3 linked regions of the Arabidopsis thaliana genome follow. The protein of the gene in region 1 interacts with the protein of each later gene in a pairwise test. Each region holds a gene or a part of one and is shown on either strand. Other genes may lie near its edges.

The links. The genes of interacting proteins can lie anywhere in the genome.
Region 2: the proteins of AT3G06530 (region 1) and AT4G27090 interact in a two-hybrid assay, tested with the Arabidopsis thaliana proteins (one large-scale study listed by BioGRID).
Region 3: the proteins of AT3G06530 (region 1) and AT2G20450 interact in a two-hybrid assay, tested with the Arabidopsis thaliana proteins (one large-scale study listed by BioGRID).

Annotation. Positions count from the first base shown.
Region 1 is NC_003074.8:2,020,605-2,025,539, forward strand, and holds the start of AT3G06530 (ARM repeat superfamily protein), read left to right. Parts: upstream 1-1,855; 5' UTR 1,856-1,991; coding exon 1,992-2,151; intron 2,152-2,239; coding exon 2,240-2,453; intron 2,454-2,535; coding exon 2,536-2,631; intron 2,632-2,722; coding exon 2,723-2,840; intron 2,841-2,930; coding exon 2,931-3,104; intron 3,105-3,197; coding exon 3,198-3,368; intron 3,369-3,539; coding exon 3,540-3,595; intron 3,596-3,686; coding exon 3,687-3,776; intron 3,777-3,864; coding exon 3,865-4,013; intron 4,014-4,116; coding exon 4,117-4,205; intron 4,206-4,285; coding exon 4,286-4,414; intron 4,415-4,499; coding exon 4,500-4,568; intron 4,569-4,667; coding exon 4,668-4,836; intron 4,837-4,933; coding exon 4,934-4,935. Other genes in the region: AT3G06520 (agenet domain-containing protein), read left to right, coding at 1-117, 389-1,351. UniProt on the Arabidopsis thaliana protein: Involved in nucleolar processing of pre-18S ribosomal RNA. Involved in ribosome biosynthesis.
Region 2 is NC_003075.7:13,593,238-13,597,059, forward strand, and holds AT4G27090 (Ribosomal protein L14), read right to left. Parts: upstream 2,016-3,822; 5' UTR 1,951-2,015; coding exon 1,948-1,950; intron 1,723-1,947; coding exon 1,621-1,722; intron 1,329-1,620; coding exon 1,199-1,328; intron 1,131-1,198; coding exon 1,018-1,130; intron 924-1,017; coding exon 867-923; 3' UTR 607-866; downstream 1-606. Other genes in the region: PDIL5-4 (PDI-like 5-4), read left to right, coding at 21-98; AT4G27100 (Ypt/Rab-GAP domain of gyp1p superfamily protein), read left to right, coding at 2,608-2,697, 3,306-3,401, 3,509-3,612, 3,738-3,822.
Region 3 is NC_003071.7:8,812,019-8,815,985, forward strand, and holds AT2G20450 (Ribosomal protein L14), read left to right. Parts: upstream 1-1,813; 5' UTR 1,814-1,904; coding exon 1,905-1,907; intron 1,908-2,060; coding exon 2,061-2,162; intron 2,163-2,384; coding exon 2,385-2,514; intron 2,515-2,614; coding exon 2,615-2,727; intron 2,728-2,996; coding exon 2,997-3,053; 3' UTR 3,054-3,361; downstream 3,362-3,967. Other genes in the region: AT2G20440 (Ypt/Rab-GAP domain of gyp1p superfamily protein), read right to left, coding at 69-157, 238-360, 448-647, 728-831, 910-1,005, 1,123-1,233.

The DNA.
Region 1 (4,935 bases):
AGGTACATTGTGGAGTTTAAAGGGGAAAATCGTCCAGAAATAGAGGTTGATCAGTTCAATTTGAGGCTTCATCGTGAATGGCTAGATGGTGGGTGGGTTCCTTCTCTTCTCCAACAGGTAAAACATTTCTCTGCGTTTGAATTGAATCTAGGGTTTGTAGAAAAATAGTGAATTTAATGTTTTAGGGATTAAGATACATTGAAAGATTTGACGAATTAATTGTAAATTTAGTAAAACCAAAAAAAAAAAAAAAAAAAAAAAAAAAAAAAAATTGTAAATTTAGAAAAAAGACTTAATTATACTATATATACTGTATGTCAAGCAATTTGAATTTGAAGATTTGTTGGAATTTGGCATAATAAACTCACACTGCTTTTTTGATTTACAGAGCAATTTCTCGGAATCGACAGCCCAAAGAATTAAACTGAAGATAAAAATCAAGAGAAGAGATCAATATGAGAAGGGAGCTCTTGTCGAAGTCAGAAGTGAAGAAAAAGCTTACAAGGGTTCTTGGTATTGTGCTCGTATACTTTGTTTATTAGGTGATGATAAGTACATTGTTGAACACTTGAAATTTAGTAGAGATGATGGTGAGTCGATCCCTCTGAGAGATGTGGTAGAAGCCAAGGACATAAGACCAGTTCCTCCTTCAGAACTCTCGCCTGTTGTGTGCTATGAACCAGGGGTTATAGTTGATGCTTGGTTCAACAAACGGTGGTGGACCAGTAGGGTTTCCAAAGTCCTAGGAGGAGGTTCTAATAAGTATTCAGTTTTTATCATCTCAACTGGTGAAGAAACGACAATCTTAAATTTCAACTTAAGGCCCCACAAAGATTGGATCAATGGACAATGGGTCATTCCTTCCAAGGTATTGACTGATGTGCCGGAAGAATGTTACAAACCTCCATTGAAGAAGCTGAAATCTTGTGAGAGAGCAGAGAAGGTGTTTAACAATGGAATGGAGGTGGAAGTTAGAAGCGACGAACCAGGTTACGAAGCCTCATGGTTCTCTGCAAAGATCGTAAGTTACTTGGGCGAAAACAGATACACAGTGGAGTATCAAACACTAAAAACAGACGATGAAAGAGAGTTGTTGAAGGAAGAAGCAAGAGGTTCAGATATAAGACCTCCTCCTCCTCCACTGATTCCAAAGGGGTATCGATATGAATTGTATGAACTTGTGGATGCTTGGTACAATGAAGGATGGTGGTCTGGTCGAGTATATAAGATAAACAACAACAAAACGAGATATGGTGTCTACTTCCAAACGACTGATGAGAGTTTGGAGTTTGCTTACAATGACCTTAGGCCTTGCCAAGTGTGGAGAAACGGAAAATGGAGTCGTGTATAAGGATGAGAAGAAGTTGGCTAACGGTTACAACTATTAATGAAGAGGATAAGGAAAATGACTTGTTTATAGTACATTTTTTGTTTATGAACATATGTTTGAAGTTGATGATGTCGTTAATTGTCTGCGTATAATATAATATTTAACTTCTAATGAAAGAGGTCAGGTGTTAAGTTTCTTTTTTGTTCTCTGTTCTCACTTCCATTTTACTGAAATTCTTGGATAGATGGGTTTGTTAATCTTGGCAAATGTGATGTGAACAGTGATTGTATCTTGACTTTCTTACACTTGTTTCAAGACTTTCTCGATTGAGGAATTAAAACGCACAGTTTTGTAATAGTAGCGGCAGATTAGAGATGGGCTTTATTATCAAGTTGTAAAACTATTGGGGTTTAAATTCGAAAAACAAAAAAATAGGTCATGGTTTAAAACGCAATTCCATTATAACTCAGGGGTTTCCTTGTTTCTTTATATTACTATATCTTCCAGATTAAAAATAAAAGGATCGTTAAACCCTAAACCCGCTTCTTCTTCTTCTTTCTCTTCTTCTCCCTCAACGCCGCTCTCTATCTCTCTATCTCTCTCTACCTCAAACTTATTCTTCGAATTTCCTCTGAAGAATAATCTTATCCCAATAGCGAGTATGAGTTCTTCAATAGTGTCACAGTTACAGGCTCTCAAGTCAGTGTTACAAGCCGATACAGAGCCTTCCAAGAGACCTTTCACACGCCCTTCGATTCTCTTCAGTCCTAAAGAAGCAGCTGATTTCGATATCGAATCAATTTACGAGCTCGGGCTCAAAGGTATGTTCTCTTCTCCTATTATGCAATTCTAATGAACAAGCTCAATGATAAATTAAATTCTCATCGTTAATTATTTTTGTTAATTCAGGTCTAGAAGTACTTGGAAACAAAGATGAGAGGTTTAAAAATTACATGAACGACTTGTTTAGTCATAAAAGTAAAGAAATTGATAGGGAATTGCTGGGTAAAGAAGAAAATGCTCGGATTGATTCATCAATCAGTTCGTATCTACGTTTACTCTCTGGTTATCTTCAATTTCGTGCTTCCTTGGAGACCCTTGAGTATCTCATACGACGATACAAGTATGTGTTTCCTTATCACTATTGGTTATGTATATTTGCCTTTGTTCGTTCATCGAATTGTCCTAATTGCTCTATATTTCAGGATTCATATATACAACTTGGAAGATGTGGTTCTATGCGCCTTGCCATACCATGACACACATGCCTTTGTCCGCATTGTTCAACTGCTTTCTACTGGGTGAGTATATATCTTTCACTTTCGATTTCGAAGTGAAGTCTCACAATTTATCATATCGATTAGTAAACCCTGGTTCTCATTTGCTTTACAGAAATTCCAAGTGGAAATTTCTGGATGGTGTTAAAAATTCAGGTGCTCCACCTCCTAGATCGGTTATCGTTCAGCAATGTATACGTGATAAACAAGTTTTGGAGGCCTTGTGTGACTATGTAAGTAGCTGTTAATATTTTTTTTCCCTATAAACTGGTTTTTGAATGGCTACATCAAACTGAACATCTGAAATCTTGGTTACATTGTAGGCATCTCGTACTAAGAAGTATCAGCCTTCAAAACCTGTGGTTAGCTTCTCCACCGCAGTTGTTGTTGGGGTGCTCGGTTCAGTTCCAACTGTTGATGGAGATATTGTAAAGACGATTTTGCCATTTGTGGACTCTGGTCTTCAATCTGGTGTGAAAGGATGTTTAGATCAACAGGTTTTTTAGTGGTTTTCTTACCAAATATTTTTCTCTAATTGATTTTGTTATTCAGTTGATGTGCCTTTTATGACAAACTTTATATGGTTCTAGGCTGGAGCGTTAATGGTTGTTGGCATGTTGGCAAACAGAGCTGTGCTAAATACTAATCTTATCAAGCGCTTGATGAGGTCCATCATCGACATTGGTCGTGAACATGCCAAGGAATCTTCTGACCCGCATTCGCTTCGATTGTCACTTATGGCCTTGATCAATTTTGTTCAGGTGCAATAACTTTCTGTCATCATGAACTTCTTACATTTTAATTTTCGATATCACGAATGTATAAACTTCTAAGTATGAGGTGGACATATTTTCTATTCCTCACTGAGGATTCTGCTCACAAGTGGTTGGTGTTGATTGTTTTAAACAATTAATTTTCTGAATCAACTACAGCTGCAATCTGTGGACTTGATCCCAAGGAAAGCATTGGATCTTTTTAACGAAATAAGGTATCTGAATATGAACAGTCTTCCTTCTGAAGCTTTTTTTAATTGTAACTATTACTAGTATTTTTTCAACGATGGCTTCAATTTTGTGCAGAGATATTTCTGGTGTTCTTTTAGGCTTGTCCAAAGAGTTCAACATCAAAAGATTCCTGGCAGTGCTACTGGATTCTTTACTTTTTTACAGGTGTATATCAAACACTGTTTTGTCATTTTCAAGCGGATGGATTTATTTTGTTAGTATTCATGTGTGATTTACTGTCATCTTGTTGCAGTTCGTCTGATGATAAATGCTGCGAAGTTTTAGCTTCAATAATTGAGACTGTTCCCGTAAGCAATTTGGTTGATCATTTGATCTCCAAGGTTTTCTCTTTATGTATGACACAATACCAGAAGAACAGTGATTTTAGATCTTCTACATCTGGTTAGTGATATGTCAACTACTTATGTCATTGAGTTTTGGGTGTTCATTTTTGAAGATTCTTTTTCAGATTCCTCTTTATATAACCAATATTGTTGCAATTTAGTTGTAGGAAGCTGGGCCAAGAAATTTCTGGTTGTTGTAAGCAAGAAGTATCCTGCTGAACTACGTGCCGCAGTTCCTAAATTTTTAGAGGTCTGTGCTCCAACTCTCATTTAGTTATTTTCCTTTGTGTTTGTTATATGGTCTTCTGAGTCATCGACTTCTTGTTGCAGGCTACTGAAGTTCAGTCGAAGAAAGAGGATTTAAAGCTAGAGATGTTGTCTTGTATGCTGGATGGGAATTCAGACATGTCTCACCCGTTTGTGGATTCAAAATTGTGGTTCCGGCTCCACCATCCCAGGGTACTATAACCTCTAATCTTAGTTATGTGAATAAAATTTTTTATTTACTTTTTGCGCAAGACTGAGGGCTTCTTATAAATAATAGGCTGCTGTACGTTGTGCCGCGCTTTCTAGTCTAAATGGTGTTCTCAAGGATGATAGCTCTAAAGCAGAGGTATGTGTGGGGTACTCATTCCAAGTATTTTTTGTTTCTTTACTTTGACTTCATGTCATCTTACTGTTCTTCAATATCTTTTTTACCCTCTCCATCCAGAACCTTGTCACAATTCAGGATGCTATACTGCGTCAGCTTTGGGATGATGATCTGGCTGTTGTTCAGGCTGCCCTCTCTTTCGATAAGTTGCCCAATATAATAACCTCTTCTGGTCTTCTGGATGCTTTGCTTCATGTGGTGAAACGATGTGTTGGCATTCTCGTATCAGGTGAATAAAGATGCTCTGTTCTTTTCTTAACTTGTTTCAAGTGTGGAATTTTCATATGTTCAGTTAGTTTACCTCGCACTATCCATTCTTGTTGCAGGA
Region 2 (3,822 bases), on another chromosome or scaffold:
GTATTTTTGCCTCTTTTCAGGTGGCCGGAATCTTGGATTCTATTCTCCATCACTCCATGACACTCATGAAAAAGATAGAACTTGGTAAAAACTTCTGAAGCTCCCTAAGGGTTTTATTTCGTTTTCCTCTGTAACGAGTCAGAAATTTTTGCCCTAGTTATACCAGACGTCACTTAAATAATTCGGTTATATATATTCACAAACTGTTATCCTTTTGAACATATATAAGTATTATCGATGTCTCTGAAGTCTTTGGGAGTTTTAGTAGAACAAATTGTTATCACTTAAATCAGGGGAATTTACTTCCAAATTCTCCAATACCAAAATACAGCTTCTTGTGAGTTGGTTCATACTGATGATGGAGAAATGTAATTTTTAGCCAACAAGGTTTCAACTTTCAACGTTTGAAACTAGATTTGAGCACAAATATAGCAATCAACTTTCCCCCATGGCTGCTTATAGCAATCATCGACGGAAGTCACAGCAGAACGGAGAGTCCTCTCGTTCCCTTTGGACAGAGTTGCATCCTCTACTAGAATTTTACTTAGGTAGAAGTAAGTATCCACAGTAAAGAATCTCCTTCTTGTTACAATTTTCAATTTTGTGTTCTCTTCAAGCTAATTATTAGTTTAGTTAGCTTAGCATGATTCAACTTTAGCCTTGGTATAGAATCATAACATAGAACCATATAAACGAAAATAAGACTAAGATCAAAAGAACAAAAAACTTTGAGTTTTGCAAACAAGGTTTCAAACTTGAATAATGTCTGATAATTGAGCACATACTGATATTGATAGTTCCAAAAACACTAATTTCCGAATCCAAAATCAAAAAAGAAAGACAACAGAATTGTAGATAATATTTGATCAGGCAGTGATCTCCTTCTTGAGTTTTGCAAGCTCTTGCCTGACAACACCAGCTTTCTGCAAACAGCAAAAAAACCCATTAACATTTCAGTTCTGACATGAATGAACACTACCACAGAATTTCAAACATCTAACAATTTAACACACTGACCTTGATCTTGGCCAACATGATCTTGAACCTATCAAAGTCGTTAAGGTTAGCCCTACGTTTCTGCACGATAAGCTTCCTACCCCATGAGCTTTTCTCCCACTTGTTCTTCACATCTGCAAGACTTTTCCAGTTAAGATTGAAACACTTCAAAATTCAAATATTTACATTACGCAGCACTCACCAGCCTTTTCCATTGCCTCGATCAAAGCCTTCTTCTTTGGCACACGGTTGATGTCAATGACAATATCGGTAAGAGACAACCTCTTGAAGTTCATCTGGATCCTCTCCATATCAGGGGCATCCACCAAAGCCTAAATGACGAGAACATAATAAGAACTCCATAAAAACAACTAGACAATATTCAGCTCAATATTCACCAAGGAAATGCAATAGGCTCCAATCAATGATGCAAACTGAGTTATAACTGTAAGCCAATTATGCAACCAAAGTCTCAAGCTAAATCAAAATTTTCCTTAATCAAACAATTTACCGAAACATACACAGTAGCATTACGGAATCAAGCATTAAAACAGCTGAAACTCATCAATACATACATGATAAAGAGATGGAAATCTTCATAACCTAAGAATGAAATAAACTTACTCTGTTCTGGTCAACAACGTCGACGATAACGACGAGCTTTCCATGATCTTCTCCGTAGTTCACAAGTGCTACTCTCCCGATCTCAACGTACCTCTTGAAACCCTAAACAACCAATCACCAGAAAATATTAAATCTAACAACTTTGGACTCTAACCTATACACAAACGTAACTTGATTGAGAACGTCAAAAGCCTAATCCCCAAAAAAAAAGATCTAGAAGAAAGAAATCCGAAATGTGCTATGAACATGAGCTAAATACAGGAGATAATCACGTAGAACACAGACGAACTAACCAAGGTATTAGCTCAATAAGAGAGTATATCTCACCATTTTCGCCGCCGGTAGATTGGAAGGTCTAAGCTCCGAGTGTAAATGTAGACGAGCGACAGCAGAGGAAAAAATCGATTAGGTTTTGCACTATATATAATCTTCATTCTAGGGTTTTGTGGTTTGGGCCTATCTTTACTAAATAAATATCACAAAGGCCCAACATTAAACGCCCAATATGGTAAAGAGAGAAAACGGCGTCGTTTTATGTTGGATATTTTTGGGGGAAAAAAAAAAAAAGACACAGTGTCTCTTTCATGTGGAAGAAGATAAATTAGAGAGAAGTGATGGAGAAACTCCGTTATTTGTGGAGGCAACAACTATTGTGTAATGAGACCAGCTCATCAATCATCATCTCCAGAAAAAAGGAATGATACAAGAAACTTAGTTGATAGATAGACGACAGGAAAATAATATACGCAGAAAGAAACCTAAAAAAAAAAGTTTCTGTCTTTAGACTCCAATCCACTAAGCTCCAAGCTGGGTCCCCTTAAATTCTCAATCTTTTTCTCCCTAAATTTCCTTTAATTTCTTCATTGATCATTGCTCATTGATCGATCTTCTGAGTTTTGAGGGGACCCCGATCCAAAGTGTATCTCTTTCTGTTTTGCTCAGCATTTGGATTTGATTTCTTTTTTTTCCCGGGAAAGTTTGATAGAGATGTGGGGAGGCGCAGGTGAGCCAGCAGATTCTTACTACCAAGTTCGTCCTGAGTGCACCGATGTCCCCAAGACCAGATTCAAAATCAAGGTTACTTCTTTCGATCCCTTCTTCTTCATTTTCTCCGATTTTTGCTTATTCTAGTTTTGCTTCTTCGTTGGGTCGTCTCTGTTTTATGATTACGAATACGATATGTGATTGCTGATTCGGTTCCAATTACATCCAGATTCTCTGGTTATCTATGTTTTCGAAAATGCATTGTCTCTGTTGTGAATTTGTTCCTGACATTGTAATGTTCATAAATCTGATTCCTTATGAGGAGATATTGATCTTAGGAGCTGTTCAGGGTCTCATATATATTCTTGATCCCACTGGATCTTTTTCTCAGTAGCATCACATGAATGATTGTTTTAGTGAGATTGTCACTTTTTCCAGACATAAGCTTGAAAGGATTTTAACTTCTTGACTCCAGGGTCTTTAGGAAGATACATAAGATAGGAAGATAGGTTATGTGCTTGACTGGTACTAATTTGGAACTAGATTGAATAATTTTGAACCTTTACATTACAGGCCATAAAAGCCTATATCATTCCATGTCTTGTGGTCATAATGTATCATGAATAATTGCATCATGTTGAGGCCAGGAAGTTTTTGCTATGTTGCTGACAACACGGGTCATATTTATGATGTTTGTGCAGCCTGGTAAAACTCTAAGTGTAAGAAAATGGCAGGCTGTATTTGTACAAGAAGGGTCTCTCCATATTGGCAAGACTCTAAGACGCATCCGAAGAGGGGTATGTTTGTTTGGATAAGTCTTTGTAAAGACTGATTTATCCTTTCATTTGTTCTGTATCTTTGATAACTTATGTTACTTTAATATTCCTTTACAATCAATCTATAGGGAATCCATCCATCAATTAGAGGCGAAGTATGGGAATTCCTACTTGGTTGTTATGACCCAATGAGCACATTCGAAGAAAGAGAGCAAATTCGACAACGCAGAAGGTAGAATTTTGTCCTCATATCCTATATATATGTATCGCATTTGGCATAATTACATGTTTCTTTCAGTTCATTCATAAACCATCGATTCAGTTTTGTGAATCCTACCGCTAATTCTCTTCTTTCAGATTGCAGTATGCTTCTTGGAAGGAAGAGTGTAAGCAAATGTTTCCTGTCATTGGAAGTGGAAGATTTACTACCGCACCTGTAATT
Region 3 (3,967 bases), on another chromosome or scaffold:
CCGTGAATACAATGGTCTGGTAATGACATGAAACATGAGAAGTTATGTCATAGGCTATTAGTTATTACTAGTCTCCGCATTGCCCGCTCAAAGCACCAGAAAGCGTCGCCTTCATCATCAAAGAGGATTATCATTGGGGAACATATATCATTCATTCCTACATGAATAGACAAAGTGGATCAGTTCTGTTTCTTATATAGTTTCAAAAGATTAATCGTTAACAGCAAGTACACTTACCCTGAACATAACCAATATCAAGATTCAACCACGTATATATGGCAAGAACGTCCCATAGTTTTGATTGATTACGATCATTCTCATAAAAACAGAGATACCGATCTGTTCTAGCAACATCAAGGCCTGAAACAAAATATACAAGAATATGTAAAAAGAGGTTATAAGAAGATAATCAGATAGAACTAAACTTATTTATATGTAAAGGCATACCGATCTGGTGTAGTGAGAGCATCCATTGTAGCACTCTCTCATCTGTAACAGTGTTTTTCACGATCCATCCTTGGTTTTCTACAGAAGATTCGTCTATTGGGTTCCCATTTTCTTGAACGACTGCCATTGTGACGTACTTGCCACTACCAATGACAGGAACCATTTTCTTACATTCTTCTTTCCATGCACCGTACTGCTCCCTTAGATGATCAATAACATTTAAAGTTAGCCATGACGTGCATCTACAAAACTAGTAAATGATCAACCAATTCTATAGTACCTTCTGCGATTCCTCAGTATGTTCCTTTCCTCAAAAGTGCTGTCTGGATCGTAGCATCCTAACAAAAACTCCCAAACAGCGCCTTTGATGGAAGGATGAATTCCCTAGCAAAGAAACCAAGTGAACAACAACAAAAAGAGCATATAGATAGAAACAAGATCAGGAAAAGAAAGTAGACTCACTCCGCGCTGTATACGTCTAAGCACTTTTTCCATATCCAAATGGCCATCTTCAGTAAAGGCAGCGTGCCATCTTCTAGCACTTAGAGTCTTTCCAGCCTGACAAATTACATATCAAGATGAATCATTTCATCAGCTACAAACAAACAAACAAGAACCTAATGTATCATCAATTCATCAAGACATGAAACAGGTGATTGAGAAGAAGAATGGTACCCTTGATTTAAAACGGGTCCTGGGAACATCTGGTTGACATTCAGGTCTAACTGGATAGAAACCTTGCAAATCTTCTCCTCCGGATTTCCACATAAATCCGCAGCAAAACATTCAACCTTCCTTCTTCTTGTTCAAACCAAACTTATAGTTTCATCCATCTCCCACATAAATCATTCATGGATTCATCAGACCACTGTTCAAGAAATAAAACCCAGGATCAGAATGGAGAAAAAATGAAAACTTTACAAATATGTAAACGAAAACACAAGGAAGATATATTCTTTTTGCAACGACGAAGCTCCCATTGCTCAATAATATATATAACCTTAAAATCAGTATCAGAACACCATCATCATTATCATTTGGATAATCCAGAAACCGATTAGACCCAACAATTTGAAATTGTCTACAGAGAGAATACGAACAAAAGAAAAATACATACAGATTGAGATCCTAAACAGCCGGAATCTTCAGAGACATGCCCGTCTTCTTCTTCCATCTTTCATCTTTCATCTTTCTATTTCTAGCAGAGTACTTTCCTTTTTAACCGAACCAAGCCGATTTTATTAGCTCCGATTTCAAACATTAAACCGATCGGTTTCGGTATTCTTAAACGACGTCATGTAATCTCTCCACATTTAATGGGCCTTTAAAATTGTTAGTGGGCTTCTATATGCTTATGTGCCTAATTCTTTTATATCAAAAACCCTAATAATCTCTTGGGCACATAAAAATCTCTTCGCCGCACAATTGCTCCAATCTGTTTCTTCTAGCCGGCCAAAATGGTGAGCGATGTTCTTCGCTTGATTCCATGTATTTTAGTGTTTCTGAAAACTTTAAAGATTCTGCTATTGCCCTAGCTGCTTCTCTTTGGAATTTGTTATCTTTACAGATTTATATAGTTTTTAACCTCGAGAACTTTGTGTTTGATTGTGAAGGGTTTTAAGAGATTCGTGGAGATTGGGAGAGTGGCGCTCGTTAACTACGGCGAGGATTATGGAAAGCTCGTGGTTATCGTCGATGTAGTCGACCAAAACAGGGTAACTTGATATGCAAGCTCTGTTTTTTTTTTCGATTTGGTATTGTAATCAATGTAACTATCTTCTTATTGCTCACTGAAATATATATTGATACAATAGTTATGATGCTAGGAGTAGAATTTGTATGCTTAGTTTAATACTTGTGGTTTTGGCTGAAGCTAGGAGTCTTTGAAATGGTTTATGTTTTGTCTAAAGTGTTTCTGTTTATCTTGTCCTTTTTAGGCACTTGTGGATGCCCCTGACATGGAGAGAATCCAGATGAATTTGAAGAGGTTGTCTCTTACTGACATCGTCATTGATATCAACAGAGTTCCCAAGAAGAAGGTTTTGATTGAGGCAATGGAGAAGGCTGGTGAGTTTGTTGTAGCATACTTTTGATTATTCGTAGGTTTTATTGGCCTTTTTTTGTTGTTGGTTGGGTTGGGTCATCTTAGCTCTAAAGTTATATGCAGATGTGAAGAACAAGTGGGAGAAGAGTTCATGGGGTAGGAAACTTATTGTGCAGAAGAGAAGAGCTGCCCTCAATGATTTTGACAGGTTCAAGATCATGTTGGCCAAAATCAAGGTTGGTTTACTTCTTTGTATCCACCAATGTTGTTTTAGTCAACTCTACTTTGTGCAAATGCAGATGAGTTTTCACTGCTTCATTTGCCCTCACTTTCGGTTGTGGTTTAGAAATAATACTATCTAAACTTTAAACTGTATCTACTACTACTACATTCACCATCTTCTTGGGTTTATGATCTTTGGTTTGATACTGGTTTGTTTTGGATTGTATTAAGACGCATCTTAGTGTTATTGAATAACCTCTAATATATGAATATTGTTTTGCAGAGGGCTGGTATTGTGAGGCAGGAGCTTGCTAAGCTAAAAAGGGAGATCGCTGCTTGATTTCTTAATTATGATCCATTACCAAATCTTATTTTTGCAACTGTTTTTTTAGTGCAAATTATGACAAGTTGAGTTTTTTTTAGTGCAAATTATGATATCAATTTTGCTGATTCCGGGCTACTAAATAGTGAATTTTTTTTGCTATCGGATATTATTATTTTAGTTTAGTTTTTCTTTCTAAAGTCTTGGTCTGATTGGTCTGGTCATCTTTTTAAACCACCTATGAACTTCGATCTTTAGTAGATGCAGTTTTTTCTTCTTCGTTTAGTTCGCATATCTTCAAAAATCTTACAACCAAGTAGAATCTTAGCTGCTGAATATTTGGACATTTGCTTACTTTAGAGGCCAAATTGTTACGTGATGTTGCTGTTGCTATGAGGAGAACGAAATTCTCTGAATTGAAGAAAAACGATACATATTTATAGATATTGTTGTGTTGTTGTGTCGCCGGTTAACAGACGCATGTTTTGTCGAAGCAAGGTCAGAACCCCAATTCAGATGAGCCAACTTCTTCTTTTATGGGATTTGGGCCAGAGTTTAGGTTTGTTGTTACTGGGACTGACGAGCTTAGGAAAATCCCTAATAGATATGGGCCTTATTCTGATCTCCTTGTTTTTGGACTAGTGTTTATTTCCCAAGGTGTATTGGGCCTGATGAGACCAACAAAATTCTTAATGGAGATGGCCCAGCTTCTGCTTTCCTGGTTTGTGGGCCAGTTTTAGTGACCCTGCCAATTATAACATGAAACAGATGTTATAATGGAAATTTGCATTTATAACATACAAAAATATTACAATTAGGTAACTAACCAAAATAAATAGTCCAATGATATTGTGTGTATTTCCTATATTTTAGACATAAGTGACCTTAAGATAAAACCAATCAACTCGCCGGTACCGATTACAACGTCGTCA